Tamandua tetradactyla: one gene and its partners. The protein of the gene in region 3 interacts with the protein of the main gene of each other region in a biochemical or structural test. Links are inferred from orthologs where the notes say so. Each region holds a gene or a part of one and is shown on either strand. Other genes may lie near its edges.

The links.
Region 1: the proteins of ERBIN (region 3) and ABCA1 interact in a test that uses a peptide from one of them, tested with the Homo sapiens proteins (2 studies listed by BioGRID and IntAct). The link is inferred for Tamandua tetradactyla from reciprocal best matches to the Homo sapiens genes ERBIN and ABCA1.
Region 2: the proteins of ERBIN (region 3) and MAPK12 interact in a test that uses a peptide from one of them, tested with the Homo sapiens proteins (2 studies listed by BioGRID and IntAct). The link is inferred for Tamandua tetradactyla from reciprocal best matches to the Homo sapiens genes ERBIN and MAPK12.
Region 4: the proteins of ERBIN (region 3) and ARVCF interact in a test that uses a peptide from one of them, tested with the Homo sapiens proteins (3 studies listed by BioGRID and IntAct, with this or other methods). The link is inferred for Tamandua tetradactyla from reciprocal best matches to the Homo sapiens genes ERBIN and ARVCF.

What each region holds. Positions count from the first base shown.
Region 1 is NC_135328.1:23,873,620-23,881,375, forward strand, and holds the start of ABCA1 (phospholipid-transporting ATPase ABCA1), read right to left. Parts: upstream 3,177-7,756; 5' UTR 3,095-3,176; exon of another isoform or gene 2,658-3,094; intron 1-2,657. UniProt on the Homo sapiens protein: Catalyzes the translocation of specific phospholipids from the cytoplasmic to the extracellular/lumenal leaflet of membrane coupled to the hydrolysis of ATP.
Region 2 is NC_135333.1:45,615,233-45,623,127, reverse strand, and holds the start of MAPK12 (mitogen-activated protein kinase 12), read left to right. Parts: upstream 1-4,895; 5' UTR 4,896-5,044; coding exon 5,045-5,169; intron 5,170-5,241; coding exon 5,242-5,371; intron 5,372-7,402; coding exon 7,403-7,461; intron 7,462-7,895. Other genes in the region: MAPK11 (mitogen-activated protein kinase 11), read left to right, coding at 1-44, 128-239, 369-398, 484-531, 602-716, 997-1,068, 1,288-1,367, 1,928-2,101 and 1 more. UniProt on the Homo sapiens protein: Serine/threonine kinase which acts as an essential component of the MAP kinase signal transduction pathway.
Region 3 is NC_135335.1:113,753,530-113,761,307, forward strand, and holds the start of ERBIN (erbin), read left to right. Parts: upstream 1-4,674; 5' UTR 4,675-5,391; intron 5,392-7,778. UniProt on the Homo sapiens protein: Acts as an adapter for the receptor ERBB2, in epithelia. By binding the unphosphorylated 'Tyr-1248' of receptor ERBB2, it may contribute to stabilize this unphosphorylated state.
Region 4 is NC_135331.1:28,345,549-28,353,395, reverse strand, and holds the start of ARVCF (splicing regulator ARVCF), read left to right. Parts: upstream 1-4,714; 5' UTR 4,715-4,794; coding exon 4,795-4,908; intron 4,909-5,474; coding exon 5,475-5,702; intron 5,703-7,847. UniProt on the Homo sapiens protein: Contributes to the regulation of alternative splicing of pre-mRNAs.

The DNA of each region.
Region 1 (7,756 bases), on a different chromosome or scaffold from region 3:
TCCCATACTTGGCCCACAGTGCTATATAAGCATCTATTAAATTGAAAATGGCAGTAACTTCAGCATTTATGTTTATTTCCATAGGCAGAGATGAAAATGATCTCAGTTTTTAGTTTAGGACTTCTCCCATCATGGTTAAATAAAATGAGTGTTCAGAAAGCTCTTTTAAGAATTGATGCTGGAGTAATTGGCCATCAGAAGCATTACACTTCCTTACTTCTTTAATATCTAGAAGGTAAATTAAAATGCATCTGGATTTATGAGTATTTTAGAAAGACAAAACACACCTACCCATTGGTATTTTCTAGATATCCAAAAGGTTCACAATTAAAAAGAACCTAGGACAATGTCCCTTCAATTATTTTAAGAGCTAAAAATTGAAACAGCAAAGATATTAACGATTCGCTATCGCTAGGAAAGTAGCACAGCCTGGGAGGATTCCTAAAAAAAAGAAAATTAAGTGGAGAGATATTTTAACTCCTCTCCATAAAAGGTAAGTACTACCGAAGATAATAAAAAAGCTGAGTAGCAGAGTTTCATTCATTTTCATTCATTTTTAATAAAGTTTGCACTCGGACTTCCTTGAGCAAAGACTGAACACAGCAATCCTTTTCCAGTTCTAGACTAATGCGCTGTCCCACATAAACTATAAATATGCTTTAAGTCAAAATGTGTTGAGGGTCCATTACCAGCCTGCACTTAGATGTAAATTGAAACACTTATAAAGACTGAGATTTCAAATGCTCATCTGCAGGTGAGCCACTCAGATCTCAGACCTGGTCACACCAAGATACGTCATCTGGTCCCTTAAACTGACATGGTCATGATGAAAGCTGGAGACCCTTTTCCCTAGTCCTGATTCTACTGCTTGTTCTCTAATAAATACCAATTTGCTCTGTATAGCCGACATTTTCCCAAAAACCCTATCATGAATTATTTAGATGGTTTTATGGGAAAACTTAGGAAACAGACTGACAACGGAAACTTTATGCTTGAAATTTATTACACTCCACCCCTGACACACACAACCAAAAGAGGTTCTACACATGTGCTCACCCTTACTTTGATTGAGAAGTTTCTCAAGAGAGTCATATGAACCACCGAAAGCCTCCATCATTTTTGGAGTAGGTGTAAGAAACATAGGATGAAATAAAAGAATAAATGAAATGAGATATTAAGTGCCTTTATTAGTTGGCATTTAAGTTTTGTTTGAAAAGCAGATCAAAACTTAGGTTTGGGTCCCAAATTATTGTTAAAAGAACCAGTAAAATCCCTGTTTCTGAACTTAGGAACACTTTTTTTTTCCATTAATTTCATTTACACTCTATATCCACCCAATACCCATTCCTTGGAGAAATTTTTGTGTTGTGCCTTGCGAGGTGTGGGGGGGATGGGCAAAAGAGGTAGTGACTCTGTTTTTCATCACCAAAGAAGTTTTTTTTAATATCACATTTGTCTTCTATTATATGATTGCAAGTTTCACCCACTCACTTTGTGAGGTGTCCTTGGAAAGTCTTACTGGGTTTTAAAAGTTGCGGTATCACTGCTGCAAAAAAGGACACATTACTTTCAGAACCACTTTGCTCTTTCCCGTTCGTCCTTCCTTTTTTCTTTCTTTCAAGATCTATTTTATTTCAATCTTTCTGATAAGTGTTGAGTAAAACAGACCCCTACACACAACCCTGGCACTAGCCGACGCCCTAGGAACACTCTTTGATTTAGCACCGTTCTGAGAGTCGGGAAACACGCGAACGAAAAACAATCAGACCGGCTCTAACCCGAAACCCCTGGGTTTTCTCCCAGTTCCATCCTCACAGGATCCTGGTGGGAACCGCCGGGCGTACTCCGGCCACGAGGCCGATTCCCAGGCCGCCCGGCCAGGAGACGCTGCGGGCCAGTCCCCCGGGACCGCCCGCCGCCCGCGCCACCACCCCCGCCGCCGAGTTCCGCGCCGCCGGCAGGGGTTACTCTCGGTCATTCTGCTGCACAGTCTTACCCCAGCTTCCCCATTCGTGCCGGGCCTGAGGCTGCCCCAAGAGACGAGCAGTAAAGGGCTAGAAGATTGGAGGGGCGTGAGGAACGGGCACCCCAGCTCCGGGTTTCCGCAGGCTCCCCTTCGCTTTATGTCTTTTTTTCTTCTTCTTCTTCTTCTTCTTCTTTTTTTCTCAAAGGAACAAAACCCGTCCCCCCGCTGCACTAGGGACACCAGCTCGGGTGCGCGCACAGGAATTGTAAGCAGGACCCCGAGGCCAAAACAAAGACCCTGCAGCCTCAAGCCATCAACTGCGCAAGATATCCCGTTCAGGACACCTCCGGCTCGAGTTCTTGGAGAACAAGGACATGCTACTCCAGTCTGGGGACGCACAGAGACGATCCCCTAGTCAGAGTCCAACTCAGACCAGCTTCTCAAGGATGCGGCCAGGAACTAAGAGCTGGCATTTGTCCCGGTGGGCGCGGGTCGACCCGCAGCCAGAGGGGTTTCCAGCACGCTCGGGAGCTCCGGAACAAAGGGAAGGTTTTGTGCCGGACCTGCCACTCTCCCCACCCCTGCAGCGGCGCCCCAGCACGCGCAGGAGCCCCCTAACTCCCTGCGCCCGAAGCATTGCGCTCCGGCTCTCCACGCCCAAAGATGCTCGGCTTACTCCGCGGACCCGCGAGCCCCGAGCGTAGCAGCGACGCATTCAAGGATCTCTAATCGTAGGAAGTCCCCTTCCCGTTTACGCCAGCCCCCACCCCATTTGCGTTGCAAGGGATAGGGGGATCAAGGGATACCGGCCCGAGTCTCGGAAACCCGGCACTTCCCAAAGCCTCCTCGGCCGGGGAAACAAAACAAAACAATTACGCCCTAGTCACGGGAGAGGCTCTTACCTGGTTTCCACTTTTCTGTCTGCGACTTTTTCCCCCACCCTTTGGCAAACCCTTCTGGGGGAGGGGACGTGTAGAAGAACAAAAACAAGCAGCAAACCGCCCTGCGAAATTGGCTCGAGCGGCGAGGGTCCTGCGACACCCCCCGCCCCGGCCACCCGCGCTGAGGTTGAGATGTATCGGCTCGGTACGGCAGGTCGCGGCCCCACTCACTCTCCCTCGGAATTACCGGGGTTTTGCCGCGACTAGTTCCTTTTATAGATTCGGCAGAGCTGAGCGCAGGGGTTACTATCGGTCAAAGCCTGTTCTCTCCCTCCTCCCCGCCCCCTTCCCGGACTCTGTTTATGTAGTTCAGTCACTCAGCACAAAGCACGTGGAGCCGCGGTCCGCCCCTTAAACAGGCGCGGTCCTTCGGATCCGGACAGGGCCGGGGTTGGGAAAGGGGTGCCGGCAGCTCCAGAACCAGGGTTCGTGTCCCCAGCCCCCGCCCCGGTCTGCCAGCCCAGAGCAAAAGCGGGAAAAGCGGGGCCTGGAGCTGCGCCCGAGATTCCAGTCCACGTTCTGGGCAGACAACAGCACTGGTGGAAATCGCTTCCTCTAAACTTGCGTTGCCCGCAATTTTTTTTTCTCTTCCCTTTGTTAGTTTACTACTCAGTCGGAGGGATTGTGGGAGAGAGGGCAAGAGGCTGAAACCCAGCAGGAAGCCAACACTGTGGTCTTTCTTTCCTTCCCGAGGCCCGGGGTGGAGCGGACGGGGTTTGGGGCAGGAAGGTGGCCAGCCCTGAGGACCTGGCCAGCCCTGGGGACTGCTGCTTTGGTTTTCCATCTCAAATCTTGACTTCGGCATTCTGCATTCGATAGACGACCCGTTCACTGTCTTTGAGAGCCTCGCCCTGGCTCCCCGGGTCCCTGGCAAGAGCCAGTAAAGAGCCCTTTGCACTGTCTATTGGTAACTGAAAGGAAAGGAGATGTGTGAAACCGGGAACAACGTGGGCCAGCCCCGTTTTTATTTTCCTGGTATTGGTAAAGTCCCTGTGATAAATCCATGGGGCTTAGGTTTCAGCTAGTTTAGATTTGGTGAGTGCAGCTAGAGAATCAGTCCTGTAAAATTATATAGTTACTCCAGGAGCAAGAGGTCAGTGGATACAAAGGGACCCCACATGCCTTATGTCTCAAGTCAAGTCATAAATCAAGTCAGCAAGTTGTAAAATAAATATCTTCTCTTCCTACCCAGAAACGTCTTCTCTGCACATAGGTAGACAAGACACCCCCCTTCCAGGAGCCCCAGAGGTTGATGGGCAGGAACATACATCAGGGGTTTTGTCACATTCAGGACAGCCCAGTGAAGAGGACCTCGCGGGCATGGAGGTATAATTGGGGGGCCTTACGGCATGGAATTCTGGGGTCCCAGATACTCAGAACTCCAGATGGCATGGCCTCAGGGCCGTGTGGAGGAAGAAGGGATGCAGTTTGAGGAAGACCAGAGCCTTGTATTCTTCTAGCCCCAGGGCCCAGGACAACTGCCCCTCCTGCCCTGGTCCAGCCCTGGTCCAGAGACTGGACTCTGGGGTTAAATTTGTCTGAACCATATGGCCAGCTGCTTAGGTAATGAATTTTGCCTCCATTTCTTCATCTTGAAAATGGAGAGAAGGTGCACGTACTCTGCCCCACAGAGTGTTCTGAAGATGAGTTTTATGGAAACCTTGGAGCTGCTTGAAAAAATGGCACTGTAAACCCAGAAGGTGTTATTAGCTGACTGTTACTGTCATTTCAGGTACCAGCCATAGTCTTTAAAGTTTTTCCCACACCAAACTTAAAACTCCAGGGCTAGCCAAAAGTTAAGAGGAATCTGCCTGACCGTCTATATAGAGGAAGGCTCCTATCATGATTTTAGGGTGACTTTAGGATATGATTAAGTCTCTGTGTACTGCACCCACCCCCACTTCTACTTCCACCTCCTATCTCCTTTGCCCCCACCCACATCTATCACAGTGCTTAAAATCCTACCACCAAAATCATTCTTTTGGGATTTTGAAGGCTCTGGCTCCTAAGAGAACCCTAATAAGGTCATATGTTTGTTGTTATGACCTCATATGTAATGGAGAAAGGGTTACAGTAAATCCCATGGGATACTGGGAGAAAGAAGGTGAGCCGAACAGAAAGGAGACAGCTATTAATTCCAAATACCTAAGTCTATGGCCTCAGAAGAGACCAAGCCTTCAAAGAAAGGAAGGAATTTGGCCAGGTTACATGCGGACAGATGTCTCCTGACCCCAAACCCACACTTTCCAAGTGCAACAGCTTCATATGACAAGAGTACTACATTCCAAACATGAAAGCCTTGGAGAATGTGCCACTTGAGAAAGAGGTTTTCAGGTGTGCGTTCTCTCCCCTCCAATCCTGGAAGGTCATCGGCTGATTTGCTCCTGAGCATACTGAACTGAGTTTTCCTCCAAGTCTGTCAGTTCCCACTGACACCAACACCCATCACTGAAGCCTCACTTTAGGTGACCCTTCCCAAATGAGAAGGAAAGCCCTTCCTCCTTGCCTTTTCTCTAAAGAAGTTGATTCCATAATTGTAGCCTAGGTGGCTTGAGATTCTATTCTGAGACAACCGTGGCATCTTCTAATTACAGAATCAACCTTCGGGCAGCTGTGGCCTTGAAGACCCTACTGGAGGTCATGGAGTTGCAGAGAAGCTTCATGGAGATGTTTAAGTTAGGGATTCCGTAAAAGGCTTTGCTTGGAGGTTGCTTTGATAAATGACATCTGTTAATTTGTTTGTGTAAATGTACATATGCACATTGTTTAAAATATAAATAATTTGCAGTATGCCTGTGTTTTCTGGTTGTTATGTACACTGTTTGGTTCCTGGAAACTGAAAAACAATAGAGTATTACAGGAAAATGATGAAGAATAAAGAAGAAAGTATTCTAAAAATAACCTTTCAAGCTGAATTTGAAGACCTAATATCTGGAATCTTGGAGAATTCCTGGAGAATGAGAGATATCTCAAAAAAAAATTTTTAATAAAAGAAGGTAGTTCAACTTTCATATATAAAGAAGAATAAAAGGATCTACAGTTCATATTTGGGTCAGCTTAATTCCAGTGCATGGTTAGGCACAGAAGCAATTCATCAATCAATATTCAAATAAAAACACACACCATTACTTGTAGAATAGGTCATGCACAGCAAAAGCCCCCAATACCTGCAATTCAATTCCGTTTAACTGGACCTATGCAATCCCCTTCTGTACTAAGGTGACTCCTACTGACATGAAAGCAATAGATTGAAAGCAATTACCACTTTTAGATTTGGGTAAGATGTTCTGCTTGTCACTGGCATGAACAAGTTAGCCTGGGTCATAGACAGATCTAGTCCCCTGAATTACTAGTGGGTCAGTGACTTATAATTCTTTTTAAAAGCCACCCTCCCAATCTACTTCTTTTCAAGCTCTCCTTCTTTAGGAGACAAACTGCTTGAAAGATTTAACCCCTGCTTACTCCATCTCATTCACTCCCCAGTCCATTGCAATCAAATTCGTGCCCCCACCACGCTCAGTCTGTTTTGTCCAAATTCATTAATGACGTCCTTTTAAAATAAAAAAAGAAAGAAACAGAGAAAGCATGCACAAGAAAGAGAGAGAGAGAGAGAATGAGAGAAAGAAAGAATGAGAGAAAGGGAAGGATAGAAAGAAAGGAAAAAAAGATGTTTATGTGTTTAATCTTTTAAATTAAAAATCTTTTTTAATTTTTTTTACTTTGTAGTTTACAAATACATAAAACAGGTATGTTTAAATTTAAGTTACATATTTATTAAGGTAAGGAACTATATAGAAAAAAAACATTTGTCCTTAAAGACATACTAAGGAATAAACTGTTGTACAAATTATTGCACGTGTGAAATATCTTTTAAATGTAGAAAAATACAGAGAAAAGTGATCTCTGGTATTTGATGGAATTGGCCCCACCTTCCTTCTTGAAACTAGTTCTTCTCTTATATTTCATGAATCTGATTCTCCTGCCTCTTTAATGCTCTTTTCTTGACTCTTCTTTTACTGTGTATTTCCTGATATTGGTTTCTCTTCACATTTCTACACGCTGTCCCCATTACTCCACCCTCATCCCCGTCCCCAACAATATTAGCTGCTCTCTTGGAGCCATTTAAAACCTGTGTTTCCAGCCCTCCATTCTTGTGGAGCTCCAGAATTGTTCTTCCTAACACGTGGAGGTGGCTCCAGCAGGACCCAGCCGTGTGCCGGAGCTGGCCCCAACCAGTTCAGGAGAACTGATTGTACAGATCTCTTCCTAAATCTGCAGTAGGTGACCTAGACCTGGCTAGCTTGAAATCGCCAAGGAAACCCATAAGCACTACAAATCAGGGACTGTCCTTATTTTTGAAAGCCAGTTGTTAACATTTACCAGCACACCAATGAGCAGGACATTCTGCAAATAAATCCAAAACCAAGTATCTTACCTTCCTCTTACATCTCCCCCCCCCCACCCTTTATTTCTTATATCAGTTAATGATATCATCGTCCACTCAAAGACTATGGGAAGTTATCCTTGCTTAACTATTTCACCTCACTGTCACCGTCTTTCTTCTCGCATCTTAAAAAGCACCAAAGTCAAGTCAATTGTACCTCCCAAAAGCTCTTAAATCTGTCCCTTCTCCATCCCTACTGCCTTAGTCCAGGCTGAGACATCTGGGCTTCTATGCTGCAGTAACCTCCAACAGCTGTCCCTGACTCTAGTTTGTCCCTCTTTCTATTCATCTTCTCCATTGAAGATGAAGTAATTTTTCTAAGGGCAAAACAAAACAAAGACAAAATCTCTCTAATATCATTTTCCTCTTCAAAACTTCCTGTGGCTCTCTCCATTGCTTACTAAA
Region 2 (7,895 bases), on a different chromosome or scaffold from region 3:
GATGTCTTCACGCCGGCCACGTCCATCGAAGACTTCAGCGAAGTGTGAGCTGTAGGGAGGTGGCTCGGGGCGGGGCGGCGTCGGGGCGGGGCTCTCCCCTGACCCCCAACCCCTGATCCCCCGCCAGGTACCTGGTGACCACCCTGATGGGCGCCGACCTGAACAACATCGTCAAGTGTCAGGCACTGAGTGACGAGCACGTGCAGTTCCTCGTGTACCAGCTGCTGCGCGGGCTTAAGGTGCCGCCGGGGTGCTGGTGTGCGGCCCTGGGGCGCGGGGCCCCTGCGGAGCGGGGGTGTATGGGACGGGGTTGGGCCGCGGTCCGCCCGGGGAGGTCGACGCAGTCGTGATTTCCCCCCTCCCCGCAGTACATCCACTCGGCCGGCATCATCCATCGGGTAGGTGTGGGGTGCAGCTCTGGGCCCTGGTCCGGTCGGCGTGGACCCCGTGCTCGGCTTGCCTCATAGCCGTACCTCCATGCAGGACCTGAAGCCCAGCAACGTGGCGGTGAACGAGGACTGCGAGCTCAGGGTGAGGGGCGTGTGTGCGGGCGGGGCGGGTGAGGAGGGCAGGTGCTGAACCGTCCCTGTGGCCTGCCCAGATCCTGGACTTCGGGCTCGCCCGCCAGGCGGATGAGGAGATGACTGGCTATGTGGCCACGCGCTGGTACCGGGCCCCAGAAATCATGCTCAACTGGATGCACTACAACCAGACAGGTGGCCGTGGGGCCTGCGTGGGGCATCCATGTCCTGTGGGGGCCATGGCCTGGGGAGGGTGGCCATGCACCCCAGGGGGTCCTTCCCGGTGATGGGGTGAGGCAGGGCTGGGGTCAGCATGCACAAACAGACCTACAGGGGGCCCTCTGCGTTGAGGGGGGAGGCTCCAGTGGGCCTTCCCACACCAGGTTGAGCCCCATTGTGGGTGAGGGTCACCGGGCTGCCGCCCCGGGAGGAGGGGGGCCAAGACTGATGGCAGCCTGTGCCCTGACCCCCACAGTCGACATCTGGTCGGTGGGCTGCATCATGGCCGAGCTGCTGCAGGGAAAGGCCCTCTTTCCAGGAAACGACTGTATCCTTGGCCCCGCAGGGGTTGGGGGGTGTTGGAGCCAGGACCTCCCAGTTGTGGGTGGGCAGGGCGACAGGCAGTCTCAGGCCCTCCCTGTCTGGCTGTTCCCCCTGGCTCATTGGCCGGGGAGAGGAGCAGGCTCTGGGCAGCACCCATGGCTTCTGCCCTGGGGGGCTTGGGCAGGCCCCTGCTGGCCAGTGGGTGTTTCCTGAGCCGAGGCAGACATCGACCAGCTAAAACGCATCATGGAGGTGGTGGGGACCCCCAGCCCCGAGGTTCTGGCCAAGATATCCTCGGAACACGTGAGTGGGTGCCCCCTCCCCCCCCGCCCTCTGCGGACTAAGGCCCCGGGCACTCTGGGGGACACCATGGGAAGCAGGCTCTGTATGGGGAGTGCAGGGCACTGCCAGAGGAGCCAAGGCAGGTGCCCTGCCCCTTTAAGGGATACGGCAGGGCAGGGGACACAGCGAGGGCACAGTCCTGACACTGGTAGCAGTGGTTTGGCCAGGGGCAGTGGGGTGGAGGAGGGGACAGGAGGGTTAGGTGAGGGGCTACGGTCAGAGGGGTTAAGGGGCAGGTCTCTGGCTGCCCCTGTGCCAGCCAGGGCTGGGTAGTGCCTGGGTCTGGGGTCTTCTCTGGAGTCCCTGCTCTGTCCGGGGCCTGCGGTAGAGGGTGTGTGGTCCCCTCAGGCCCTCCCCCATGTGCCCCCAGGCCCGGACATACATCCAGTCCCTGCCCTCCATGCCCCAGAAGGACCTCGGGAGCCTCTTCCACGGAGCCAACCCCCTGGGTGAGGATGGACCGGGACTGGGTGGGGCCCTCCACTGGCCGGAGGCGGGGCTGACCCTCCCGCGGCCCACAGCTGTGGACCTCCTGGGAAGGATGCTGGTGCTGGACAGTGAGCAGCGGCTCAGCGCGGCCGAGGCCCTGGCCCATGCCTACTTCAGCCAGTACCACGACCCCGAGGATGAGCCTGAGGCCGAACCCTACGATGAGAGCGCGGAGGCTGCTGAGCGCTCAGTGGAAGAGTGGAAGGGTGCGCAGGGGTGGAGGCTGGGACAGGCAGAGCTGGGCAGCGAGGGGAGCAGGCACCGCACTGGGCCTAGACTGGGCCGTCTGTGCTGATCCTTTCCCCATTGCCCCCCAGAGCTCACCTACCAGGAAGTCCTCAGCTTCAAACCCCCAGACCCCCCACAGCCACCCAAGAGCCTGGAGATTGAGCAGTAAGGGGAGCCCACCTGCCACCTCCACACTGCTAGAGGGGCCTAAGCCTGCACCCTGCTCATCCTGGGACTCTGTGACGGGTGCCACCCTGCAGCCCTGGCCCAGCAGCCCACATACCTGGCCTGGGGCCTACTTGCCTGCTCACCGTGCCCAGGGGGTCCTGCACACACATGTGTCGGCAACAAGTATGTGCCCGTGTCCTTCACCCCCGCCCCCAGCCATCTGGGTCTCCCTCTGGATTTCACAATGGGGGATTTGCATACCATGGGGCTGCCCCCCAGGCTGGTGTCTGTCTGTGCCCTGTTCTCTGTGTACAGTGGGAGTTCGCCAGGACCCCCTGGACTCAAAGGGATGGTTCCAGGGATCAGAGCTGCTCAGGCCAAAGGGGGTCTGCCCCGGGAGTGCTGAGACCACCTGTGCCCCCCAGGCTGGGCAGGGTTTCCCTGGTGGCTGGCCAGGCTGGGACACTACAGGCTTCACGTCAGAAAAGCTGGGGCCCGTGTGTTCACCTGTGCTGTCTGGGCACATGTGAATCTGTGGGTGCTAGGAGCCCATGACCAGGAAGAGGCCAGAGTTGGGTTGCTCTGCACCTCCCCACATGCTGGGTACCCATGAAGGGCTCCTTGGGCCGAGGGCACCCACTTGAGCAGATGCCAGGGCTTTCCTTTGTGGGTGCATAGAACCACAGCAGATTGCTGAGCAAGGGAGCATTGCAGCCAAGGAGCTGAGGCAAGGGAGGGCCCGTATCTGTGCTGCAATCTCAAGCCACCAGGTTGGGCAGAGCACACAGGTGCACACATGGACGTGACCTTCACATGAATGCCCCGGCCCATGGACTTTGGACAGAGCTGATGAAGAAGCCTTGCCGGCCCTCTACCTCCCCTACCCTCATGGCCCTTCAGCTGGGGTTCTGGGGTCGCCTTGTCCCCCTCCTCCCACAATAGAACTGACCGAGCATCCTCTGTGGGTAGGCCCCTGCCTGGAGACTGGGTGGTAACCTCCTACCCTGGGGGTACCTAGGGGGGACTGGATGTGAAGTGCCTGTACACAGGGGCGCTCAATAAAGGGCTTCCCTCATGCCCCACCAGTGTCCGACATGCTAGGCCCCCTGCCTTTGCTGTCTCCACCTCTGGGGGGCTCACCATGGGCTGCACCCACCCTGGCCTGGCCCACAGGATACCAGGCAGTCATGCAGCCTGGTGAGAGAACAGCTGGGGCACCGCTAGAGGCAAATGCTTCCTCTCCTGGGGGCCAGGCCTTTCCCTTCTGGCTAATGCAGACTCCGGGGGGTGGGGGTGGTGTAGAGAAAAGAAGGCTGCTTTCAACCTTGAACTCTGCAGGCCACTCTCACCTGAGCCTACTCCCACTGCTTTTTGCAGCTCCCACCTGGGGGGCTGTAGGCAGGATCCTATAGGCCTAGGCACCAAGGCTGCAGGGCTTTAGGTACCTGGGAAGCTCTAGAGACATGGCTGGCCAAGGCCAGTAGGGGTGGGGCGGGGGAAGGGGCCCTGGTCTGAAGGAGCAAGGGCCCCTATGAGTGCTGGAACCCTGGGCTCCACCCCAGGGAGTAAGCCAGGGGGGCTTCCTGGAGGCAGAGTACCCCACTCAGCCCAGGGCATGGGGTGCAGGTGGCTTTGTGGGTGGCATGTGCCATGCTCCTGGCTGGGCTGGCTGTGGGCTGCTCTTGCCATCAGCTGGCTGTGCATGTGCCAGGGTCACCGACCCCAAGGCCAGGTGTAAAGCTGGTCTGGCCATGCCCAAGGCTGCTGAGCTGCTGATTCACGGTTGGCAGGCGGGGCCCCAAAAGGCAGGGAAGGGGGCACTTGGGATCCTGCCACCCACCACCAATCAGCTTTGAGGGGACCCCCAGGCTCCATCCTCAGGAGCACCCAGACCCATGACAGGACTATGCCTACACTGAGAGGTCAGGGCCTGAGAGGCCCCCCACCCCTGGGGCTTGGGCAAGCCTTCAGGGAGGGAGAGAAGCCAGGTTGGACAGATAGGACAAGCAGGGGGCAGGTGTGTGTGGGGGGAGCAGGCAAAGGGACTAACAGTGGCCTTGGGATGGGGGAAGAGGTGGAGGGAGGAGTGGGAGCCAGGGTGCAGAAGGGCCGAGGGGGGATGGGAGGCTTGGGGACAGGGGTTGAAGGATGGACACTGGGGTGGCCACCTGAGAAGTCTGGGAGACAGAACCAATCCCGCATATGTTAGGGGGGCTGCAGGCAAGACCTAATCGCAGATGGGTGGACCCGCCTGGGGGTAGGGCATCCTAGGGGGTGCGGTGGAGACCCCCTGCCAGGAGATTCAGGGTGGGGGTAGGGGGCTGGGTCTGGGAGGCTCAGGACAGTGACCAGGAGTTGGGGACAGAAGTTGGGCAGCATAGGCCCGGCGGCGCACTGGGTGTGGGCAGTAAAGAGGAGACCAGAGCGCTGCGGCCCCTGGGGACCCGGGCATCCGGGGCGCCAGCCCAGTGCGGAGCCAGCGGCTTTCCGAGTGTCCCGCCGCGCCGCCTCCTCGCGGGGCCGGGGCTGGGCCATCCCCCATCGCCTCGGGTTTCCGCAGGGCGGGCCGTCACGTGCGCCGGGCCCCGGGGCGGGTTGGTCGCGGGCCGGGGTGGGGCAGCGCGGCAGGAGCCGGGCAGGGGTCGGGCCGGAGTCGGCGGTGCGGGAGCCCGGAGGGCGGCGACCCCAAAGGGGACAGCAGAGGGCCGCCGGGCCCCGGTTCCGGGAGCGCGGCGCCCGGCGTCCGGGCAGCGATGACCTCCCCGCCGCCCACCCGCAAGGGCTTTTACCGCCAGGAGGTGACCAAGACCGAGTGGGAGGTGCGCGCCGAGTACCGCGACCTGCAGCCCGTGGGCTCCGGCGCCTATGGCGCGGTGTGGTGAGCGCGGGCGCGGCGCGGGGCGGGGCGGGGGCGAGAGGCCCGGCCGAGGCTGAGCCGCCCACCCCGCAGCTCGGCCGTGGACAGCCGCACCGGCGCCAGGGTGGCCATCAAGAAGCTGTACCGGCCCTTCCAGTCGGAGCTGTTCGCCAAGCGCGCCTACCGCGAGCTGCGCCTCCTCAAGCACATGCGCCACGAGAACGTGAGTCGGGGGGGTCGCACCCGGCCCCGCCCAGCTCGCCCCGCCCCCCGGAGTGCCGCCTGCGGGAAGGCCGGCCCTCCCCCCGGCCTTCCTGTGGGGTGGGTGTAGGTGGGGGCCCAGGAGACATTGGCAGACTAGGGACCTTTCTGGCGTACACCGTTTTCCCCCACGCCTAGGCCTCCTTGTTTGGGGTAGAGCCTGCATGGATTCCCTTTCGCGGCAGCCCCCTGCCACCGCCGCTGTGACGGGTCTGGGCTCAGTTGGCCTTCCAGGTTTGCCCCCAAATCCTGCCTCCATTCCGGGAACCGTGGTGAGAGGAGTTGGGCACAGCACTTTTCCTGGAAGGGCCCCCCAGACTTCCCTTCAGCCTCCCCAGGCCCCTCTGTTCCGCCTGCCTCATAGTTCCTCCTTCTCCAAGTGGGACTGCACCTGTCCCAGCCCCCTGCAGAGCCTGGGGTCCCACTCAGGAGGGGCGCCCAGGATGCTGGCCAGGGCAGGGGTTGGGGTGCCTCCTCCTCACCCAGTCCAGGGTTTCATGGACAGGGTGGGGGGTGGACAGGTCCGGACTCCCCAGGGAAACCCCCCCACACCCCTGCCTTAAGTTCCGGGCTGAGAGCTGAGCACTGTGAGCTTTGGCTGGTCGCTATGTACATCAGTGCACCTGGGCCCTTGGTTCTGGCCACTGCCCGCTCTCCAGCCAAATACTTGTTCTCTGGGACTTCTGTCTCCACCCTGTGCCCTGGGGCACTCAGCCTCTGCCCTGAGCCACATCTGGGACGTGATCTTCATGGGGGCTGCCTCCCCCCCCCCCCCCCCCCCGTCCGTGAAACCCTGGGCTGGGTGAGGAGGAGGCACCCTAACTCCTGTCCTGGCCAGCTTCACCAGCACCCTTCCCGACCCGACTCGGACTCTCCGTTCGGCCCCTCCCAGGCCGGCACAGTGGACATGCCATCCACTGAGCCAGCAATCCCACCAGCCCTTTGGGCACCTGGCCCTCTCCCTAGGGCATCCTTCCCATAGCCGCGCAGCCCACCTGCTCTGTTCTACTCGCCTACAACCCCCTCCCTCCCTGCTGCTTGCTCTGTGTGGACCAAGGGGGCCTTTGTGGGCTCTGGGCTCCCCTCCCCCCAGGCCCTCCTCAGCTGGAACCCTCGATGGCTGCACATCTAGGTCTGCAGCCTCCAGCGGTCTCAAAGTCCCCTCTGGGACTCCTGCACTGGAGGTGGTCCCTTTCTGACAGCCCCCAGCACACCAGAGACCTAGCATTCCACCCTCCCCCCCCCACACTGGACCTGGCGGCTGCGGGGTCACTGTCTACACCTGCCTCATGTGGTCTATCCTGCACAGTGGCCTGAGGAGGTGGTGAGGGTCCCGCCCCTGCTTAAGGGCTTTCCAGGGCCACTTTTAGGGTTACCTGGACTGGAGGTCCTCCCTGCTCCTGACCCAGCCACCTGCCTCCCCTGTGTTACTCTAGCACATGGCAGGCTCCCCAGGGCCCGCTGGGCCTCTGCACCCCACCTGCCCTGCAACCTTGGTAGGCACCATCCTCACGAGCAGGCCGCCCTGGCCCCAGGTTACCTGTCTTCCATCGCCTCCCCAACCAGGGGCCCCGTGGGGCCGGCGGGCTGTGGGTCTCAGCCTGGGGAAGGACTGCAGTGCTCACAACCTGAGGGCTGCCCCACCCTGGGTCCCAGTGTCCATGGGCAGAGCAAGAAGGGGAGGCAGGACCAAGGGCTGACCCTGTTGTGCTTGGCCTGGAGCCAGCCAGACTTGACTTTCCCACCCCCACCCCCACCCCCGCACATCCCGGCTGTCACCATCCAGAAATAGCCCGAGGCTGTGGGCACGTGTGTCCCGGCCGGGGCTGCTTGGTGAGTGGGCAGTGTGGGGAGACAGGGACAGTGCGGGGGGTCCGGCCTGGAGCCAGTGCCAGCGGGGTAGAGGTGGGGAAGGGATTGGGTTGGGGAGCACCACGCCACAGCCCCTGCTGTCCACACACCTCAGTCCCCCTGCCCACCCCTCTTCCCCCAGGTAATCGGCCTGCTGGATGTGTTTACTCCTGATGAGACCCTGGATGACTTCACAGACTTGTGCGTGGCCAGCCAGGGGCTGGGCAGGGCTGGAGGGGTGTTGGGGAATCCCCTGGCATCACTTGGGGTGCTGGATTGGATAGGGACCCTGGCTCAAGGCAGGGACTGCTGCCAGCCCCCTCTCCCTGCAGTCCTGATGCACCCTCACCATCCATTCTGCCAGTGCCTCCCTAAAGCTTGGCCAGGCTTCCCAGGGCTGCTGGCACCCAGGCACTCCCCAGCACCCATGGTGTGGGCCTTGGCCTAGCACATGTGTTAACAGGCAGGCCCCGTGCTCAGGGCCCTGGTGCCAAGAGCCTGGCCCGAAATTGGAGCTGCTGACCTTTCTGGTGGGCAGGGAGGGGGCAGCAGGGAGGCCCCGTCTGCCTGGCCCGCTCCCCCAGGGCTCTCAGCCACAAGCCAGGGCTGGGCCCAGGAGGGCTCGGGAGGGCAGC
Region 3 (7,778 bases):
ATTTCCTCCTCTTCATTGTTCACTGTTTTCCTGGGTGTTAGCTCTTCCCTAGGAGCTCTGATACACTGGCCCTGCTCCGGTCACACTTTCACACAAATATAAGCCCTGGAACAGGCAGAATCCTGTCTGGTTTGAGTCTCACAGCTCCCTCTCCTAGCAGAATTAAGGAGATTAATGGCCAAAACACAAACAACAGGAGGGTTTTGTGAGATAGTAGCAAAGGGACTGAATGATTTGAAACATAGATAATTGGTCCAAAAATAATTGGAGTTTTAGAAAAGTATAAATGCATTTATTTTGTATAAGCCTGATGGGGTACTTACTCCTTCCCATTTCTTTCCTGGCCTGCTTTTTCTGATGGCTATAAATTATAGTACAATTATTTATTGACTGAATATATAGAGGTATCTTAGTGACATATGATAAATTTTTTTTAGGCTTCAATAACAAAATTTATTAAAGATAAATCAAAATACACTACATAACAAGAGTTCAAGAAAACCAAAGTGCAATTTTAAAAGTTCTTACTTCAACAAACTCAAGGCTTATCAATCACTACCAAAAATTCTATTTCCTTTAAGCTCTAAGAAAAACTTTATCTATATTGAAAGTCTTTGGGTCTTAAGGCCATAGATGAACTCCCACCAAGTTAACAGCAACTTAGATGTTAATATTGTAATACAAACTCCTCCCATTGCCTGGTATACCTGAGACCTGTCAACAACCTTTACCAGGAACCCTTCCACTTAATTTATCTACTAATTATCTAGCAACCTCCTCTCCTAAAAAACAGTATATTTTGACCCTTCAAGTAGTTGCAGGTAAGATTATAGCCTTTTAATTAAAACCTCCAACTGCTTAATTAATACTTATTAAAGTCAGGGCTACAAAAGACCTTTACTATTTTTCTTTTTTATTTCACATGTGTAAAGCATGGCTTCAACCTGGAGGTGGTTTCTTTCTAAACAGAGAACTCATTTTACTAGTTAATTTATTATCTTATTCTCTTAACTTCTATATGATACTTAAAATCTTTTTTAACCAGAATTTACCCTATTATAATTGCAATCTATTTTATGAACACACAACTTTTTAAAATAATTAAACATTTTAGATAATATAAATGCAGCTTTAACACAAAATTCTTTAGAAGCAGGCTTACAGAAGTTGTTGGTTTTTCTGGGGTAGTACATGGGTTTGTTTTAAATATATTAAAAGGTAGAACAATCAATTAACTATACAGTGCTCTTACAAAGTTACAGCAAATATGTTCACTTAATGACTTTTTCCCTCTTTAAGGAATTTTTTTAAAGCAAGAATTTTATAAACCAAACTAAATTACATTTCCTTGCTCAGTTATCTATCAATTCTATTATCTAAAACAGATTCCAAGCTATTCCACAGTAAAGAACTACACCAAGCTAAAGAAAGAAATGCTTTAAATTTTTGTACTATTCTAAAACTTATTTTTTTCTATGGTCTATAAAACATGAATCTGTTTTTATATTTTCTTTTTTGTGTGTGCTTTTTTAAATAAATCAGTAAGTAATATAGGATCAGCACTATGTTTGCTAGACCTGGCATTTACTCACTACAGAAGGTTCAAAGTTTCCTGTCCTTTTAAAATCTATTTTATATTTTGCAAAGGTTTTTTTCAACAATATTTAACTTAAAACTTTTCAACAACATTTAAGTACTTTTCAAGAAAGCACAAGTTACTTTTCGTGGTCCCTGACCAATTTTAATCGGTGGGAACACCAGTGGTACTGTCACCTCCTTTCTGGGGACTCTTTAGCTTGGTAGGCTTGTAGTATAGCTATAGCCTCATCAACCTGAGCACAGTCTCTGGAGACTCAAGCATGTGAAGAAGCTCTGAATTATCAATCTCCAACAACATGCCAGTAATCTCACCAGCAAGGGCAGGACGCATGGCTTCCCTAAGGATAAAGAGCCTTTCACCCAACATCTGCTTTTGCTGTTGAGGAGGAGCAGATGCCAACCTGGAAGCAGTCAGAGGTTCCTGACCTTGAGCATGAATAGCAGGTTGCTGCACAGTAACTCGTGGCGTTGCTTGAAGATGTTCCGGGTTGCGAACTCCCGCCTCATATCGGTAACGTGGAACCGTGCGAATGGCCGGAGGAGGTGCAGCAGCAGCAGCCCCGCCACAGGGTACGGGTACATCGGAGGCACTGCCGCAGTGGCGGCACGTAGGGTTGCGAGGACTCCTGGGATCTGTGGAGGAACTGGTCGCGTGGCGCTAAATGGTGGTGGAGGAATGGCTGGGCACACAGCGCCAGAAGTACTTGGGAATAGATGAGGCCCGGCACCCCAGCAGCCCAGCAAGGATTTGGTCTTATCTGGGCAACTGCATTAGGCGGGTAGTATGCGGCGCGGTTCTGAGGCTGTGGGGTGGGCGCCATGAAGAAACGCGAGGGCGGTGCTGGCAGGGACGGGCCGCGGGGTGGGCGCCATGAAGAAACGCAAGGGCACCATGAAGAAACGCGAGGGCGGTGCTGGCAGGGACGGGCCGCGGGGTGGGCGCCATAAAGAAACGCAAGGGCGCCATGAAGAAACGCGAGGGCGGTGCTGGCGGGGACGGGCCGCGGGGTGGGCGCCATGAAGAAACGCGAGGGCGGTGCTGGCGGGGACGGGCTGCGGGGTGGGCGCCATGAAGAAACGCGAGGGCGCCATGAAGAAACGCGAGGGCGCCATGAAGAAACGCGAGGGCGGTGCTGGCGGGGACGGGGCGCGGGGTGGGCGCCATGAAGAAACGTGAAGGTGGTGCTGGCTGGCAGGGATGGGGCACGGGGTGGGCGCCATGAAGAAACGCCAGGGCGGTGCTGGCGGGGACGGGGCGCGGGGTGGGCGCCATGAAGAAACGTGAAGGTGGTGCTGGCTGGCAGGGATGGGGCACGGGGTGGGCGCCATGAAGAAACGCGAGGGCGGTGCTGGCGGGGACGGGGCGCGGGGTGGGCACCATGAAGAAACGCGAAGGTGGTGCTGGCGGGGACGGGGCGCGGGGTGGGCGCCATGAAGAAACGCGAGGGCGGTGCTGGCTGGGACGGGGCGCGGGGTGAGCGCCATGAAGAAACGCGAGGGCGGTGCTGGCGGGGACGGGGAGCGGGGTGGGCGCCATGAAGAAACGCAAGGGCGCCATGAAGAAACGCCAGGGCGCCATGAAGAAACGCGAGGGCGGTGCTGGCGGGGACGGGGAGCGGGGTGGGCGCCATGAAGAAACGCGAGGGCGCCATGAAAAAACGCGAGGGCAGTGCCGGCAGGGACGGGGCGCGGGGTGGGCGCCATGAAGAAACGCGAGGGCGCCATGAAGAAACGCGAGGGCGGTGCTGGCGGGGACGGGGCGCGGGGTGGGCGCCATGAAGAAACGTGAAGGTGGTGCTGGCTGGCAGGGATGGGGCACGGGGTGGGCGCCATGAAGAAACGCGAGGGCGGTGCTGGCGGGGACGGGGCGCGGGGTGGGCGCCATGAAGAAACGCGAGGGCGGTGCTGGCGGGGACCGAGCGCGGGGTGGGCGCCATGAAGAAACGCCAGGGCGGTGCTGGCGGGGACGGGGCGCGGGGTGGGCGCCATGAAGAAACGTGAAGGTGGTGCTGGCTGGCAGGGATGGGGCACGGGGTGGGCGCCATGAAGAAACGCGAGGGCGGTGCTGGCGGGGACGGGGCGCGGGGTGGGCGCCATGAAGAAACGCGAGGGCGGTGCTGGCTGGGACGGGGCGCGGGGTGAGCGCCATGAAGAAACGCGAGGGCGGTGCTGGCGGGGACGGGGAGCGGGGTGGGCGCCATGAAGAAACTCGAGGGCGGTGCTGGCTGGGACGGGGCGCGGGGTGAGCGCCATGAAGAAACGCGAGGGCGGTGCTGGCTGGGACGGGGCGCGGGGTGAGCGCCATGAAGAAACGCGAGGGCGGTGCTGGCGGGGACGGGGAGCGGGGTGGGCGCCATGAAGAAACGCGAGGGCGCCATGAAAAAACGCGAGGGCAGTGCCGGCAGGGACGGGGCGCGGGGTGGGCGCCATGAAGAAACGCGAGGGCTCCATGAAGAAACGTGAGGGTGGTGCTGGCTGGCGGGGATGGAGCATCGGGTGGGCGCGCCTCTCACGGCTGCCATTCTCTGCGTGTGCTGGTCCGTGAGGAGGGCCTGGCACTCTTCTTCGCACAGAGCTAAAGCTACATACAACGGCTTGGTGGCCACAAGTCCACCATTCATTTCGGAAACCGCTTTAGTGGCCTCTTCTGGGGTGGAGAAACACACAAACCAAACCCTTTGCTGCGACCACAGTCCATCATGGCCTGTGCACTAGTGATCGCACCAAACGGAGAAAACTCTTTCCCGAGACGCTCATCATCAATACGGTCATCAAGACTTTTCACATAAAGGTTAACAACCTGGTATCTGGTGATCCTGTCCTGCTTCATCTGCTCAAATCTACACTTAAGTTCTGTCTGCCATTCTACTTCTTTCTGAGGGCGCCCAACATGAATGTGTCTTCCACTGACCTCCTTTCCATTCATCTCATCCACAGCTCTCTGTGCATCTTCATGCCTCTCAAAGCTCACAAACCCAAAACGTTCGGATTTTCCACTTTCATCAGTCATTACCTTCACACTTACGACACGCCCAAACTTGGCAAAGAGAAGCCTAAGGTGCTCACTATTCACTTCTTCACCAAAATTCTTGGTGTAAACGTTGGTGAACTCTTTCGCCCTAGTTCCAACTTCGGCTTCGCGCTCTTTAACAGACTTAAATCGCCCAACAGACACTTCGCGATCATTCAGAAGCATCCCATTCATTTTCCCAAAAGCTTTCTCTGCGGCTTCCTGTGTCTCAAAACGCACAAAGCCATAGCCCTTGGAGCCATTTCCATCACAAACCACCTTACACGAAAGGATGTTGCCAAAAGCAGAAAACATATCGTACAGCGCTTTGTTATCAATACATCTGTCCAAGTGTTTAATGAATGTGTTACCCACCCCACTTTTACGAAGAGATGGGTCACGCTGAGCCCACAGGAGGCGAACCGGCTTCCCCTTTATAACATCGGAATTCCTGGTCTCCAGCGCACGCGCCGCATCCCCCGACGGCTGGAAGTTCACACGCGTGGCCCGAGGAACGGCGGGTGACCACGTCCCCGCAGACCCGAATGGACAGCATGGGCCCTACCGTACTGAGCTTCTCGTACAGCGTCGCCTCAGTAACGTCGGGGTGCAGCTCCCCCACATACGGCGAAGCCATGGGGTAGTTGGAAGCACTGGGATTCATCTCGACACAAACGGTTCTCGGCACCACAGGCCGCGACAAACGGTTCTCCATGACAGTTTTTCTAAATGGCCTCAGAGAATACTGAGGAAATAGAAGGAAATACGGGGATATATTCCAGGTACTTAATGTACAAAGCAAGGAGCAGCATAGATCCTGAGACAGTCTGGCTTATTAACACCGAAATGGGACCTACAAATACTTTTTGAGTTAGCAAGGAATTTTTTTCTTTAATTTATATAGTTTATGTGGCATGGTGGTATGAAAGAGCGTTGCGTTGAGAAGCAGGGAACTTGGGATTTAGTCCTAGCTTTGGCAATAACTGTGATTTTGCATTTACTTTTTTTTTTTTTTGCGCGTGCAGGCACCGGGAATCGAACCCGGGTCTCCAGCATGGCAGATGAGAACTCTGCCAGTGAGCCACGGTGGCCCACTCTGGATTTACTTTTCTAACCTCTGCACTAACTCAATTCAGTGACAGTTTTAATGTGATTCTGGCCACACCTGGCCACATGGCCACCCCTGGAGCTGAAGGTGAGCTCAGCCCTCTCCTTACTTACCCCATAGACCAGGAGTCAGGGAGAATTCCCTAAAGAAAATTCCATGAGATGGGCTGTTCCAAACAGGGAAATGACTTCTGAGCAGGCAAGTTACTTTAGCTGTAAAACGAGGAGGTTGGTCTAAAAAGTTCTATTCTAAACTGTCTAGATTAGGCTTCACAGGATTGTAAATAAATGCATTATTATCTGAGTTAAAGTCTAGAGAATCTGCCGCCTTCTCCTTGACTTCTAATTTGTGATGTCCATTCCTTGTGGCTGTAGGGCAATTTCAGGAGTTCAGACTGGGAGTTGTAAGGCAGGTTCCTGAGTGGATTTCCTGTTTTTGTGAGTTGTCTGTGTATGCTTCCTGCAGAGGGACTGTTTTATTAATAGCAACAAACGCCCTGAAACAACAGACTTCTTTGACCCTATCACCATTTTTATCTTTGGAAAAGTTATGATGTGTTACTGGGTATGAAGAATAGTTTATTCTTCAAATGGGCAGTGGAGAAACTGAATTTCTTTTTACTCGGGCCCTGGCGAGTCCAGTGCTCCCACAAGTTTAAAGTTTTCACAGCATATCTTATTTGAAAATTACGGGTAGGGTATCTGGAAAAAGTATCAAAGGAATGCACAAACACTTTTTTTTTTTAATTACAGAAATTGTAGGTTTACAGAAAAATCATGCAGAAAATACAGAGTTGCCATATACCACAGCCCCACCCCCACAGTTTTCCCTATTATTAATATTTTGCATTCGTGGGATACATTTGGTATAATTGATGAACCAATATTTTACATTTATATTATTAAGCAAAGTCCATAGTTTACATTAGGGTTCACAATGTGATACATTTGTTACAGTCGGCAAAAGAATATTAATATAATTGTCACTGTATTAATTCACTATGGCTCATGGTTTACATTAGTGTCCATTGTTTATGTTGTATAGTACTATAGCTTTTTTAAAATTTTTATTCTAGTAACATATATACTGCCTAAAATGTCCCCCCTTTAACCACATTTAAATATATATTTCAATGCAGCTAATTACATTCACAATGTTATACTATATAAACAGACCTTGAGTATAACTTTGTCTCAATACCTACTTTCTCTCCAATCTGAACTTCAATGACTATTTTTAATGGAACTGGCCCTGGAATGGTAATCCCAGAAGGTCCTTTAAATTATATAATTACACAGGATAATATATAATAAAAAGCTTCCTGCTCTATAAGTCTAACATCAAATTTGCCTATATATTACCTCAATTAGCAAACTGGCTACTTTATCTCAGAAGATTGTTGGACTGATGAAAATGACATAATGCATGTAAAATACTTGGCACAATGTCTGGCACAGACTAAGTGGTCATAAATATTAGCTATTACTACTATCTGTAAAAAGAATATAATACCTATCACAGAAGGTTATTGTGAGGATCAAAAGGCATGATATTTATAAAGTATTTAACACTATGTTTGGCACATAGGAAGCATTTAGAAATAGTTCCTGCTGCTGCTATCAGAAGAAACTTGTAGATGTTTTCAAGGAATAATAGTATTTCCAAAATCAGTAACTAGCAGTATTTACCATGTTCATGTATGAAAAAAATCTTCTGATTAGAAGATCAGTTTTTTTGCTATCTAAAACCTATTTTGAGTCAGTGTGGTAGTGTTATGGTTAATTAAATATTAAACATTTTATTGTGAAAAGCATATCCAAGACTTGCCATCCAGCAGCTATTCCACCTTGGACAAATTCTTAAAAGCCATCATTTCCTCATCTTTGAAAGGGCTATAATAATATTTATCTTTCATACCTCACATGATTATAATAAAAGACCATATGAGACTGGATTGATTAAAGGACTTTGTAAAGTCCTCTAATAATGCACTAATAGTAATTTCATGATTTATTGTGCATCGACTAAGCACCAAGTCTGTGCTAAGTTCTTTATTTTTAT
Region 4 (7,847 bases), on a different chromosome or scaffold from region 3:
GGTCCTTGGTAGATGGAATTGGGGGATGCAGGAGATACCCCTGCACTGCTGGGACCCCACTGGCCCCACCCAGCCCTCATGTCCCCCCAGCGGCACCCTCCACACACCCACCTTGGTCAGACCCACGGCCCCCCCCACCTCCCTGAGCTCTCCCCACCCCAGCAGGAAAGCCCTCCGTCCCCAGCGGTGTTTCCTTCCACTCTTCCCTTTTGTGTGTGAGGGCGCATGACCATTTCCAGGCACCACGTCGCTAGTTTGTGACCTTTCCCTGCTTGGGTTTGGGGTCCTGGGACCTCCTTATTGCTCGACGAGGTCGCCGCTTCCTTTCAGGGGATCACTTCTGCTGGACGTTACGAATATTTGGATCCCAGTTTGCCAGATGGCTGTGCATTTTCTTTATGGCTTTTTCCCGCCAGTTTTGACGCGGAAACCACACACTGCGTGTGCCCTCCATATGTCCGGGGCCGTCCAGAAATTCCCAACTCTTCCAAAGCCAGAGCGGGCGCCCTTTCCTTGGCCCTCTCCTGCGCTGAGCAGTGGCAGGGAGTGACCCCTGGTACCTCTGCTCCCTGAGAACTGAGACACTGCACCCCCCCCCCCACCCCGGCTCTCCAGGCCTCTTCCCCTCACCCCCGGCCTGGCCCGGCCCTGGCCGTGACTTGCCCAGGTGCTCTTGTTAAAGCTCTGGCCTCAATCTGGCTGCAGAAGGGGTGACAGGGTGAAAGTGGGGGCGCTGGAGAAGCCAGCAGGCAGGCGGGGGAAGCGGGTTTGCACAGGCATCTCCCACGGAGTTGGGGGGGGGGGCCTGGCACTTCCAAGTCCTGCTGGCACCATTTGCTCCCCATTGAGTTGGGGTGCAGGGGCAAAGGGCATTGGTGGAGTGGGGGAGGCACCAGCTGGCCACGGGGTCCCCTGCCCTTCTCGGGGTCTGCCCGTCGCTGGAGAGAGGGGTCCGGCCTGCGGTCGCCTCCCGCCTGCCTCCCCCACCGCCAGCCTGACCCTAAGGAAATGCCTCTAATTCCTGAACCGAGTTTGGACTCAGGCCCCATAATTTGATTTTCCAGAGTGGGGTTTGGCGTGGTCTCCTCCCGGGGAGGAATGTCTCGGTCGGCAAGAAGATGTCAAAAGTCGGTTTCGGTTTCAGGGGAAGGATTGGTCTCCCCCTACCCACAAGTTGCTCTGTCCGTGTTCTCGCTTTTCCTGGTGGAGGTGGGAGCCGTGGGTGTACCCCAAGGGCTGGGGGCCCGGCCTGCCTCCCCCCAGGGCAGTGCCTCAGACCCTGGCCTTGCCCCCCTGCCTTCCCCACATCCATTCACCCGTCCACCAGCCAGCCCCCTCCCTCCCAGCCCCTCATTCTTTCTCCAACCTGCCTTTCACTCACTCATCTGTTCCCCCAGCCAGCCAGCCTCTCACCCACCTACTACCCTGTCCACCCACCCACCCATCCATCCATGCCTCTGTCAATGCATGCACCCTCTCATCTATCCACTTTTTCCCAACCCATCCATCTATACTCCCAACCATCCATCCATCCCTCCACCTATCTGTCCACCTGCCCACCCATCCACATTCCCCCAACCATCCATCCACCCATCCATTCACCCACCCATCCATCCACCATCCCCAAACATCCATATTTCCACAACCATCCATCCACCCATCCATTCACCCACCCATCCATCCACCATCCCCAAACATCCGTATTCCCACAACCATCCATCCATACACCAACCTATCCATTCACCCATCCACCCATCCATCCACTCACCCATCCATCCACCATCCCCATCCATCTACTTACCCACTTACCCTGTCCATCCACCCAACCATCCAACCATGCCTCCACCCACCCACACGCCCTCCCATCCATCCACATTCCCCCACCCATTCATTCCCCCACCCATCCATCCATCCATTCACCTACCCATCCACCCACCTACCTTGCCCATCCACCCACCCGTCCAACCATGCCCTCATCAATGTATACACCTTCCCATCCATCCACATCCCCCAAATCATGCATCCATATCCCCACCCATCCATTCATGCACATACCCAGCCATCCATCCATTCACCCACCCATCCACCTACTTTCCCACTTACCCTGTCCATCCACCCACCTACCCATCCAGTCATGCCCTTATCAACCTATATAGCCTCCCATCCATCCACATTCCCCCAACCATCCATCTATACCCCTCATCCATCTGCCCACCCACTCACTGATCCATGTACCCATCCATCTATCCACTGTCACCCATCCATCCATCACCCATCCACCCATCCACCCACCCACCCACCATTTACCCACCTACCCACCCATTCACCTATCCACCCACCTATCCACCCACCCACACATCCATTCACTCATGCAATCTTGCCTTCTAGCCTTCCACTTCTCTGTCCATCTGCCAATCATCCACCCATCATCTACATGTCTGTTCTCCCATTCTATCCCACCACTCATTCATCCACCCTCCTCTTGTCCAACCATCCACCCACTTGTCTGCCACCTGCTTATCTGGCCATCTGCCCTCCCACCCTCACCCCCGCCCCATCCTCCTGTCAGGCCGCAGGCCTCAGGCAGCCTACTCACCTCCTGTGCTCTTCTCCTGCTCCCTTGCCCAAAAGGGCTCAGAGTGGGTGGGCAGGAGGCTCTTGGCCCAGGGCTGGATGCCCAGTGGGAGCAGAATCTGGCTTGTTTCTGCAACTGGGTTATCATTTGTATTTTGGGGTTCTGTTTTTTTCAGGGCTTAACCCCAGCCCTGTCACTCCCAGCCCTGCCTCCCCCACCCCCACTTCAGCTTCCCATTCATGTTTTCTGGCTTGGACACTGGCCTGATGACATGGCCCTGGGGTAGGGTCATTCCTGGGCTGCCCATCACCCACTCCTAAACCTCATCAGGCCTCAAATTTCTCCTCATTCAGTGGGGAACTTTCACACTACACTCCCAAGCATACTGGTTTGGGGTTCACTGGGTCTGTAAGCAACAGAAAATCCCAGGTAAACAAAAGAGAAGTTTACTTGTCTCTAACCCCAAGAGGCCCAACGCTGGTGCTCCTCTGTGTCAGGCTGAGCCCACCCTCCTATCTTTCTGCTCCATAGCACAGGGCTTTGCTTTCGAGGTCTTCTCATGATCCAGCATGGCTGCCTGAACTCCAGCCATTTTACCTGCATTCCAGCCAGTGGGAAGGAGGAGGGGCAGCTCAATGGCATGCCCTTGCCCTCAGCCCTTCCATCCATCCGCAGAAAGGCCACAGGACTGGGTGCTGTGGTTGGATGCTGGGCTCTCGCATGGTGACCGCGTCCATCTCGGCAGCTGTCACTGCGTGTGGGGACAGGGAGGGTCTGCACCAGGAAGCCTTGTCTTAATGAGCCGAATCAACCACCAAAAGCAAACGTGGTTCAACCTGGCCAGTCCCATGCTGGGAGGGCCCTGACACCACTGGCCAGAGCAAAGGGCAAGGGTCTGTCCTACAGGGGGGGGACCCTTGTGACTGAGTGGCAGCCTCTGCTGGGAAGGCATCCCAGATGTCTTGCACCCATCTTAATTTACACTCGTTTTGCCAGCCACGCATCACATATTTGTTGTTTTGATACCAAAATAGCATTGGAGTTGCCATGAGAAAAAGCCACTGTGCTGGGGGAGTGGGCCTGGCCACCCCCACCCCGTGTCCCCCAGGGGCTGCTTGCTCCCAAAGCTGCTGCCAGTGGTCTCAGCCTCCCCACCCCATGGGTAGACTCGGGGGGGCCACCTTGAGGCTGTGGCAGCGGACATGGGGGTCTCTGGCCGTTCTGCAAGTGGCTGCCATGGCACCCTACCCCTGAGCTGGACCCTTCTTGCTGTGGCTGCACAATTCCAGGCCCCTGGCCAAGCCCCGGCAGACCGAGGGCCCCTGCTGCATATGCCTCTGGGATCCCCAGCAGGGCACAGCAGGGGGCTTGGCTGGGAGATTAGGTGAAGGCTGGGGGCTGTGGCCACACCTGGCTCTCCTGGGGACTGGGGAACAGGGAGGGTGATAGCATCAGGCCGGACGAGAATGCATGTCTCCCTGGCCCCCCAGGATGCTTACACTTTGGAAGGGGGGTGTCTGATGCAGTAAAGAATATCAGGTGGGCCTGGGTGGACCCCGGTGGCCTGACCTCTCCTGCCTGCCGCATGTGCACAGGGCCTCCTCTCCACCCTCGTGTGGTGCCTGCTCCGTGTGTCCTGTCACCCTGGGCCTCCCAGAGGCCCCATCTGGAGCTCTGCAGCCCCCGCCCAGGCTGTGGCATCCCTTCTTCGCCCTGTAGGAGTTGGGTTCCTTCTTGCGGCTGTGCCTGACTTAGCTGCTGCTTCCGGCAAGGTCACCACGGCAGTTATTGTTGTGTGACAGGTGCTGGGAAATGGGGCTGTGTCTGGGGCCCACGCCGGCCTCTTGCCCTCGCTGGGCCTCAGTTTCCCCAGCTGTCATAGTGGGGCTGGAGTCTGCACGGGTGCTGCTGGGGGCTGGGCTGGGAGACGGCCCCAGGCAGTACTGGGCACAGCACCACACAGACAGCACCCAGCTATGTGCCTCACCCCACCCCACCCCACCCTGGCCACTGCCCCCCCCCCCCCCCCCCCGCCTCCCCGGCATCCACAGCACTAATCGCTTCTCAGTGCTGAGCTCTGCATACTTGTGCCGGGCAGCCAGGGAGCGGGAGGGTGAGGAAAAGTGCTGGCGCGTTGCTGTAGCTGCCAGGACCGGCCACCCACTCTCCCCCTGCCCCCCGCCACACCCCCAGGGGCTGCAGAGCAGGGCGGGGCTAGAATGGGGAAAACTGGAACCTTGCTGTGTCCCGGCCCTCCAGCTGTCCTGCCGACCCGTCCTGAAGGCCAGGACACGCTACTTGGGGCCCTGCAAGGGGGCCACTGCCAAGCACAGGTATGCCAAGCCCCATGAAGCCCGGCTTGTAGTTGGTTTTCGCTGTGTCATGTGGAACAGACACACCACTCCCAGCCTGCCTGGCTGCAAAAGGAGGTCATGCTGCAGGGTCCCAGGCTCTCACCTTACCTGGCCGCACCTGTTCTGTCTGCACCCACTGTGCACCTGCGGGAGCCTCAGCAGCCGGCCCTGGGAGATAGGCTAGGGTGGCCTGTGAAACTGGGGTGAGTGCGCAGGCGCTGTGGGCAGAGGAGGGCTTAGGAGGCTGTGAGCACTCAGGCCTATGGCCTCTCTTGGCCCTTCCCGGGGAGGCTCCCAGATGCCTGGGGTGGTTCCACCAGTTCTGGCAGGAAGGGTAGAAGCTGAGGTCAAAGGCTGGTGCCCTGCAGGGAGTGAGTCTGTGCTTCCGGTCAGCCTGGATTGATGGCTCTTAATTGAAAATTTAATTAGTGCAGCTTCTCTCAAGAGAGCAGGAGGCTCAGATGCTTGGAGCAGTCATCAGTTCTCAGGGTGGGGGTAGGTAGGTGGCACTGCTCCCTCTGACCTCGCCCTTTCTTCGCCTACAGCCGGTGGGCACCCTAGTCATGGAGGACGGCAATGTGCACTCTGCAGCCAGCATCCTGGCCTCGGTGAAGGAGCAGGAGGCACGCTTCGAGCGGTTGACGCAGGCGCTGGAGCAGGAGCGGCGCCATGTGGCACTGCAGCTGGAGTGTACCCAGCCACCCAGTGTGGGCAGTGGAGGCGTGGGCGGCGGGCAGCCCCTGCCGATGGCCTGGCAAAAGCTAGTCCTGCAGGTAAAAGCCCAGTGTGCCTTGGGAAGGGGGGAAACGGCCAGGTGGAAAAATGATCACGGGGTCCTAGTGGACCACCAGCCAGCGTGCAATGGCTTATTGCAAGACCTGCTAATGCTTCAGGGGAAGCTAGGAAAGTTGGATCCCCAGGGGACTGGAAGTTCCATTTGTGTTTGTGGGATTGCATATGTGGGGCACTGTCCCTCAGAATAGCACCTTTTCCTTGCATGAGCTTCAGGTGCCTGGATAGGGCCTGTTCTAGGCAACTCAGTGGTCAGACACTGAGGCTTTTGCCTGTCCTGGAGTCTTTCTGCCATGTGGGCCTTGATGCACCTGTGGATCAGCCCCAGCGGAAGGCTCTGGCAGGCTCTGGGATCTGCCTGTAGCTCAGAGGATGACCTGGGAGCCTCAGTTTCCTCTACTGACCACTGCCCCCAGATCAGGCTCACGGCCCTGCTCATCTGGCATTTGGAGTGACTGTTACCGAGACATGAGGCCAAGGGGTTGTCTGGGTGGCACTGGCCCAGGAGCCAGGGTACGGGGAGGGTCCCTGGATGGGGTCCTGCCTCCCACTGTGGCTGTCCCACCTCACCACCCAGCAGTCTGCTGTGCCCATGCAGCTCCTTGCCGAGCACTCCGAGCAGCTCCCCAGCCGGCCCACAGTTTCCCTGCTCTGTTCCCTGGGCAGCAGGCAGCAGCATTGCCCCCACCCCCCAAAGCAGCTGGTCTTTTTCCTGTTTGGGCATGTGAGCCCTTCCCTGGCTCTGACGGCCCCCGACTCTGGCAGAAGGGTAGGCTGCCGGCTAGCCACGCCACACCTGGCCCAAACGCACTGGGGGCAGCTGGGGGCTAGCCTCAGTGCAGCCGGATGTGGGGGCTCAGAGCTTCGTGGGGGCACCTGGGCCTAGAGGGCCTTGATGGGCTGGGAGTGGGTCTCTGCACACTATGTCCACGTCAGCTGCCCAGCTCAGCCCGGTATGTGTTGGAGCTGATCCATGTCCACCAGTCTCCAGGGGACCCCCAGTGTTCTATCCCCAGCCCCTCCACTCTGGGAGGCCACTGGAGGAGCCACCCAGGCGGTCCACAGGAGGCTGGGGCTTGAACCAGGGTAGAACTAGTGGGGAAGGCTATACCCTCTGTGCCCCTAGACTCTCGGAACTCCAAAGCGTGAAGCATGCACCCCCAAACTTGGGCGGTGTGTATGAAGGAAGAACAGCCTGGCTGCGCCGTATGGGGTCAGTGGTGGCCAGTGACCCTGGGCCCGCCAATCAGGCGCCAGGATGCTCCATCTGGCCAGAAGCAGCTGCAGCCCACGGTCCTCAGATGGGCCACGTGGGAGGCTGGGACACTGCAGAGGAGAGGTTCCCACAGCTTGGGGCTGTGCCTCGTGACCTTGGGCCACGGCCCCACCCTGTCCGCTGGCCCTCCCCTCCCCTCCCTGCCTTGGGTTTCTGGCTCTTGGGAGGAGATGGTTTTCTCGGGCAGGGATTGGGGTGAGTGTGGGTTCCCAGGGCTCCAGCTGGACTGGCCGGGCTGATGGGGACACGGGGAGTGGGGAGGGGGGAACGGGGCCGGGGGTAGGCCCTGCAGCTGCAACAGCAAATCTGTTTCCCAGGTCAACCCCAGTAGAGGGTGCCTGGGGCTGGACCGTGGGGTCAGGGTCTGGGGTCTCAGACCCTCTGGGCTGGGGGTCAAGGCCAGAAAGCCAGGGGTGGAGGCTACAGCTGCTGCGCCACCCTGGGCTGCCCCCCGTCCTGGTTTCCTCCAGCGGGAAAGGCCCCCTTCTCCAGGTGGGAGGATGTACCTGGGGCTGGCCTTCGCCCAAGAGGGTGCAGAGGGACACTGTCCCATGGTGACGTCTGGAAGACGCTGGAAACAGATCATGCCATGTCATCAGGGTCTCCTTCCCTCAGGGCAGGGGGCCCGTCTTCTTGCTCCCTGTCCCACGTAGTGCCACATGGGGCTGCCAGGACAAAAGACACCAGAAGCCAGCAGTGGGGAAACCGAAGCTCAGGGGGCCATGGTGGGCACCCAAGGCATTTGAGCCTGCCGGCTGTGTGGCCTGTGTGCATGGCAAGTGGAGTGGGGGGCTGGGTTTCCCAGTGGGGTCTGGGAAGAAGTAGGGAAGGAGGCAGGAGCCCCAAGCCG